Kluyveromyces lactis: one gene and its partner. The protein of the gene in region 1 interacts with the protein of each later gene in a biochemical or structural test. Links are inferred from orthologs where the notes say so. Each region holds a gene or a part of one and is shown in the gene's direction. Other genes may lie near its edges.

Region 1 (4,420 bases):
CCAATGAAGTTTCAATCTGCCCAAAATAAATCATTTGGGTTTGACAATAAATGAAGACAGTTTGATAAGAAAGCTAGTCGAGTTAAATAGACGCTTCTAGGTCCTTTCTGTTTGCTGTTGGAGCAAAAAACGCATCAGCTGTTAGATCTTACCTGAATACTAATGCCGTTCATTATGAAAAGTTTCGTGCCATGTAAGCAAAAACTGGAGGAAGTTGTTTTCAGTGAGAAAAAACATATAAATACCTAATGCACAAAATCAAGAGAAGCTTTACACATGGTACTAAACGAAGGATTTGTGAAAGACAAGTGTTAGTTCAATACGTCAGATATCGACACTCACTCAAAACACAATGGTTTCTCAATTATTCGAAGAAAAGGTATGTGGAATCGTTGTTGCAATGGCTTTTGATTTCCCTTAATAATCATACTAACCGCATCTTACATTTATCTGCAGGCTAAAGCTGTCAATGAATTGCCATCAACTCCAAATAACGATGAATTGTTGAAATTGTATGCTCTATACAAGCAAGCAACCGTCGGTGACAACACCAAGGAAAAACCAGGCATGTTCAACTTGAAGGACCGTTACAAGTGGGACGCCTGGGAATTGTTGAAGGGCACTTCCCAAGAAGATGCCGAACAACAGTACATCGAATTGGTTGACCAATTGATCAAGAAATACGCCCCATAGAGCTGGATGGTCTCGCAAGTTATTGCATCATCTAACTAACTATCTATATCTACATATATATTATCCTTGATCCATATAGCTAATGATAATACCCTTATTACTCGGTTTGAAACACGAATTACAAGTCACGTGAACAAGCTAACGCCAACTATTTACCCGGCTATTTGCAGTTGAGTGGCAAAAAATTCTTTCTTCCCTAGCAGTATATAAGTTACCCTCCGTTAAACAGGAGCACGATCCCTATTTTTCTCTTCATTTATGGGGTTCATACATTGTTTTCTAGGCAATATATCCGGGTAACAGACTCTTTTACTTTCCATCTGATTCCACTCCAAATCGTAGCACAAACGCGCTTTACAAGATGCTACACAGCTTTTTCTTATTTTTTGCTTATTCCCAAGCTTCAAAGAATTTCTTTCCTTCACATCTATTTATCAAACAAAAACAACTAGAAAACATTTCGTAAACAAAAGAACTTAGGATCCAAGAAACAGGGAAACATTTCACTTTGTATCCTTGCGTTTAGGTGTCTTGTGCAAGGGAGAACGGTTCGTGAGACACTTGATCGAGAGTTCATACTCAGAAACTCGTTAGTAGGCGCCGAATAATTACAGAATAAAGGAAGATCTAACGTCGCTATTCGATATACTGATACTTTTATAAAGTGAACCAAGTGTGAAAATTTATTATTTGCCGTTTGCTGTTGCAGTTCCTTGTTTTATTTCTATAATTTTGGAGACTGACTATTGAAACGACCCGCTAGGATTTGGAAACACTAGTAAGTTATAATACCCTTTACAAATCGTTATGTCAGCTTCCGAGGTTGCCCAGTTTTTGGAAAACATTATCATTACTCCGGACCCAACGGTCCGTCTTCAAGCGGAGACGACGTTGAAGAAATTATCTAACGATAATTTCTTGCAATTCGCTGGACTTTTGTCTCAGATCTTGGCCGATGTGTCCGTTCGTCTTGAAGCTAGAATTCTAGCAGGTTTGACGTTGAAGAACGAATTGATTTCGAAGAACCCAACAAAGGCCCAGCAGTTTGCTCAACGTTGGTCTACGCAAGTCGATGCAGAGTCTAGACATCATATTAAGCAGTTTGCGTTACAAGCGTTGGTTGATCCAGAGACTCGTGTTGCCAACGCTTCAGCTCAGTTGATCGCTGCCATTGCAGAGATCGAATTGCCATTGAATCAATGGCCAGAGTTGATGAAGATTATGGTAGATAATACCGCTCAAGAACAACCAGAAAATGTTAAGAGAGCTTCCTTGTTGACATTGGGTTATATCTGTGAAAGTGCAGACCAAAGTGATGAAACTTTAATCAATCAATCGAACAACATTTTGATCGCTATCGTTCAAGGTGCACAGTCGAACGAAACTTCTAAGATTGTCAGACTTACCGCGCTTAATGCATTGGCTGACTCGCTTGCATTCATTAAGAATAATATGGAACGTGAGGGTGAAAGAAATTACTTGATGCAAGTCGTATGTGAAGCTACCCAGGCTTCGGATGAAGATATTCAAGCGGCCGCATTTGGTTGTCTTTGTAAAATCATGTCACTATACTATTTCTACATGAAACCTTACATGGAACAAGCTCTATTCGCTTTGACCGTGGCTACTATACAATCATCCAATGAAAAGGTGGCAGCAATGGCCGTTGAATTTTGGTCTACCATCTGTGAAGAAGAAATTGATATTGCTTTTGAACTGTCACAGTACTCCAACCCAGGCTTGGAATCTTACAATTTTGCTCTAGTATCCATCCAAGAAGTGGTGCCAACTCTATTACAGCTTTTAACAAAGCAAAATGAAGATCCGGATGATGATGATTGGAACGTGGCAATGTCTGCTGGTGCTTGTTTGCAACTATTCGCTCAAAACTGTGGTAACTACGTAGTAGAACCTGTCTTGCACTTCGTTGAACAGAACATCACCAGTGACAATTGGAGACAACGCGAAGCGGCTGTGATGGCTTTTGGTTCTATATTGGACGGTCCTGACAAAACTCAATTGACTAGTTTAGTCCATCAAGCGTTACCACCTATCCTCAACCTAATAACGGATCCAGTTTTGCAAGTGAAGGAAACAGTAGCATGGTGCATCGGCAGAATTGCAGACTCAGTCGTTGCTGCTATAGATCCTCAAGACCATCTTTCTGATGTTGTAAACGCTTGTTTGATCGGGTTAAAAGACCATCCAAAAGTGGCTACCAATTGTTCTTGGACGATTATCAACCTTGTCGAACAATTAGCTGATACCCCTTCTTCTCCGATATACAATTATTATCCAGTTCTTGTTAGCGCATTGCTTGAAGCTTCAAACAGGTCAGACAATGAATATAATGCTAGAGCATCTGTATTTTCTGCTTTGACTACTTTAGTAGAGTTCGCTAATGACCAAGTCGGGGAAACTACTACCTCAATTTCCACTTTTGTTTTGGATAAACTTGGACAAACAATGCAAGTGGATGAAGCTCAATTAACAGCTGAAGATAGACAAAACTTACATGAATTACAATCGAACATTTTATCTGTTTTGGCTGCAGTGATTAGAAAGAACCCACAATCTGTTAATCCAGTAGCAGATATGTTGATGGATCTATTTATGAAACTTTTGAGCAAGAATGATACAACATACGTGGAAGATGATGTCTTTTACGCTATTTCTGCTCTAGCATCTGCGTTGGGTAAAAACTTTGAAAAGTATTTGGAAAGTTTCTCCCCATATTTGGTTAATGCGTTAAATCAAGTACAGTCCCAAGTTTCTATCACTGCCGTCAATCTAATTGCTGATATCTCTAACTCTTTAGAGGATGACTTCAAGAAATTCGCTCCATCGTTCATGAGTGTTCTTGGGCAAATGCTTTCTTCTCCAGATGCGAAGAAGGAATTACAACCTGCAGTCCTTTCTGTTTTTGGTGATATTGCCACCAACATTGGATCAGATTTTATACAGTATTTGTCCCAAGTTATGTCCGTGTGCGTCATGGCTCAAAACTATAAACCGAATTATAGCTCTTCTGATGCCCTCGATTATCAATATAAATTATACGAATCAATATTGGACGCATACGTAGGAATAATAACAGGGCTACACGACCAACCAGATGCATTGTTTCCTTACACAGGTTCAATTTTCCAATTTATCAACTTATTGGCTGATAATCCAAGTGTTGCATTAGAAGATTCAATTGCAAGAACAGCAGTCGGTATAGTGGGTGATATTGCTGCCATGTACCCAGACGGAAGGCTCCAACAATTCTATACACAACCATGGATGATTAAGTTTGTAAAGGACGTGAAAACCAATCAATCCTTTTCTCAAAACACTAGAGATACAGCAAGGTGGGCAAGAGAACAACAAAAGTTGCAATCTAACTTGTGATTCTTTTCATTCGCTCTTGTTTGCCTGCCTACTATTAATAACAATACACTGACTTCCACAGACAACTCACTTGCATAATTCACTGCCTTTGACAGTTTATTCACTCCAACCACTGTTCATTGGATCTATGGACGCCAGTTCCCTCATCCTTTTTAATATAAAGAAGTCGACCAGTTCAAATTTCCTTTGATCCACTACTATCATTCTCATTACTCCTACTACTCTTATTCCCTACTCTTCTACTACTTACTACTCTCTTTTATTCTCACTATTGCACTACTTATTATTCTACCCTTGTATTTTATTTAATAACTCATTATTCTGTTTTATTCTC
Region 2 (3,196 bases), on another chromosome or scaffold:
GCTTGCATGTTCTAATTGTACTACAAATTATTTCAAAAGGATCACCTAAGATAGGAATGATCATGTTTAGAAAACCTAAACTGCCATTTGTGTCATGTTTTGCTTGTGTTATTATATATTTATTTTCAGTATATTTTGTCGTCAGAATTTAAACCTGGCATTTTCAACAAGCTACTTGAAAAGGCGTACTGAAGAAGTATCATTGTTGAACTGACCAACAGAGCAGAAAAAGTTAATCACAGAGTCCAAACTGCACGCAACAGTTTGGTGTTACTTCCATCAGAGATATTTGTAAGTGAGAAATGTCTGCAATTTTAGAACAGCGCAAGCTGATTTCTCAGCTTATGTCTTCGGCTGCCACATCGCATGGGCTAACTTCACCATCAACGTGCAAATCATTTATCATTGGTCATTGCCCCTATGACCTTTTCCAAGAGACCAAGCAGCCCATGGGGCATTGTCCACGTATACATTCAGTCTCGCATAAAATGCAATATGAAAGAGATGTAAAGAAGGGCAAGAAATATCCTGAGTTTGACCTTGAGCATTACTCCATCTTGAAGAAGATTCTTAGTGATTGTGATGTTCAAATTGAAATGGCACATAAAAAGTTACAGCATCATGAGGAACATTCGAAATTAGCAGCACTTCTACAAGCAGTGAATCAGCTTGAATCCAAATGTGCTTTAATGCTTTCAGAAATCGATATGCTTATACAAAACGAAGAAGTTATGAAGGCGATGATTCAAAGCTGTAAATATAACAAACTGCAAACAGAAAGGGACACACTCAGCGAAAAATGCAGGCAAATGAACGAAAACACAGGCCAAAGTGCACAACAGAAGCTACAGGTATGCCGTGTATGTGGAGCCTACCTTTCAAGATTAGACACGGATAGAAGACTCGCTGACCATTTCATGGGCAAACTCCATCTAGGATACGTAACTATGCGTAAAGAACTTGACATGGTAAAAAAGAGATTGCACGAACAAGGGACAGATCTTCACACATATCTCCCGCAAACAAGGAGACATCAAAAAGCAGTATATAGAGGTAAATCTTATCGATCGTGAATGTATAAATTTACACATACACTGAAGCTGTTCATAATGGCAAACATTACCCGGATTTGAGTATTCTAATTGAAATAAAACAATTTCAACTAATAAACATCAAGAATAAGATTAGATGAGAATAGCTGTTATCATCGTAGCATGTTCATATGCACCGGTAACACTGTGGTTTGGTGTGTTCTTCAATTTCAAGTAGGATAAATTGATCATTTTTGACTGTTGAAACATTGTTGAGAAAGCGAACTGACAATCCTAAATCATGAGTTCAGTATTTGGCCAACAAGCGCAACAAGAGAACAGGTTTGCAAACTTGCAAATAAATTATCCTCAGCAGCAGCAGCAAAACCAACAACAGCAGAATAGTTCACAATCACTAGTACAGAGCTCTGCCACGAATGGAAAGGAAGAAAACTGGTATAATATAGCTAGAAAGAGAAACATTCCACAATCCGTGATAAAAAGATCGTCTAAACCGAGCTCATCTGGAGATGGATCTTCGAATGACAACTCTTCCCAAAGATCCGGATTCAATAGCGTCCAGTTTGGCACAAAGAAGCCAACATTCAGCTCTACGCAGCCTGCACAACCTACTGATATCGCGACTTATGTGGAATCGAATGAAGCTCCCCCAACAAAATCGTTATATGATTGGCAACGAGAGGATGAGTTCGGGTCTGTCCCCACTAACGTGAACGCAATGCCTTCGTCTAACCAAATACCTTTGACTCAAGAATACACTAAGAGCACAAGAAACGCATTCGACAGAGATGCGTCGAAATCCCCTGTAAAACCGACAGCGGATCAAACAAATGATATATCAAGACAAAAATCGCAAGAGAGCGCAGTAATTGTATTTGGATATCCAGAATCCATTTCAAACCAAATAATATTACATTTCTCAAAATTCGGAAATATTTTAGAGGACCTTGAGGTTCTAAGAGGTGTTACAGGTAACAACATATCCAGTGCTACTATTAGAATTCGTGCTCAAAATAAGGACTCTAAAATTCCTCATAAGAAATATCCTATCTTCACGGGCGATGGATGGATTAAAATCACGTATGACTCCCCTAGTGCCGCTCTGAGAGCTCTACAAGAGAATGGTACCGTTTATGGAGGTTGTTTAATTGGCTGCGTTCCTTATAGCAAAACAGCCGTAGAACAATTGGCTTCGTGCAAAATCGATAAAACTGATGACATCGGAGAAATCCCGTTCAGTTTATCGATGAAACCAAACGGACCTGAATCATCTGATATACAAAATGGGACACAAGAAAGTGCTGATAATAATAAACATGGGTTCACCTTTTCTACTCGGAAATTGGATGTCAAAGATGGAAAGCAGTTGTTTGTGCATAATGCAAACCCTCCTCATGGTGGTCCAAACTTTTTAAGAAATTTGGAGAACAAGTTACGAGAACAGGAACAGCATGGGAATAACCAACAACCAACAAATTTAATTGGAAGGGTCAACAATTGGTTATTCGGGTGGAACGACCTATAGTCTCATTGTCTTTAGTAATTAGAGATGTATTATGTTTATATAATTTACGGATACCTCAAGAAATTCCAGTGCACCAAACTTCAATGAATGTGAGTATTTGAGTGAATAACTACCGAAATGGTGAAGACGATGAATTCCGAAAGGGAGACTTTGATATACGGTTATCATCATCATCACCATCATCGTAATGTAACGTACCAGAATTGATGTCGGGAGATCGATTGAAATAGCCTTGTCTGCCTCTTCTGAAACGATCATCCATTCTGAATCTGTCATCAGACACATCGGGTATGCTATCATTTGTTTCATCCGGATAGTTTAGTAACCTATTTGCAAAGTGTTGTTTAATAGGACTATGAGAGTTTCTTCTCTCACTTATATTATGATTTCTAGATGCATTGGCCAACATGGAATGATCGAAATGAGGTTGTTGAGATGGTATTAGAAGTGGCGTGGAGGGAGCGGAAGGTGTATTACCACTTTGAAGATGAGAATAGCGAGAAGGGCTCAAACGCGGACTATGCTGTCTGCTAGGATACGATTCTCGTACATAAGCACCATTTATTGACTTAGGGTGATGGTACGAGAACCTTACGTAGTTTTCCGTACGCTGTGAATT

Evidence for each region. The genes of interacting proteins can lie anywhere in the genome.
Region 2: the proteins of KAP95 (region 1) and ASM4 form a complex in vitro, tested with the Saccharomyces cerevisiae proteins (2 studies listed by BioGRID). The link is inferred for Kluyveromyces lactis from reciprocal best matches to the Saccharomyces cerevisiae genes KAP95 and ASM4.

Annotation. Positions count from the first base shown.
Region 1 is NC_006038.1:508,667-513,086, forward strand, and holds KAP95 (karyopherin beta), read left to right. Parts: upstream 1-1,500; coding exon 1,501-4,086; downstream 4,087-4,420. Other genes in the region: long-chain fatty acid transporter ACB1, read left to right, coding at 353-379, 457-693. UniProt on the Saccharomyces cerevisiae protein: Importin beta subunit that functions in nuclear protein import through association with the importin alpha subunit, which binds to the classical nuclear localization signal (cNLS) in cargo substrates.
Region 2 is NC_006042.1:687,663-690,858, reverse strand, and holds ASM4 (FG-nucleoporin ASM4), read left to right. Parts: upstream 1-1,332; coding exon 1,333-2,577; downstream 2,578-3,196. Other genes in the region: KLLA0_F07271g (uncharacterized protein), read right to left, coding at 1-64; LUC7 (Luc7p), read left to right, coding at 303-1,073; NUR1 (Nur1p), read right to left, coding at 2,687-3,196. UniProt on the Saccharomyces cerevisiae protein: Functions as a component of the nuclear pore complex (NPC).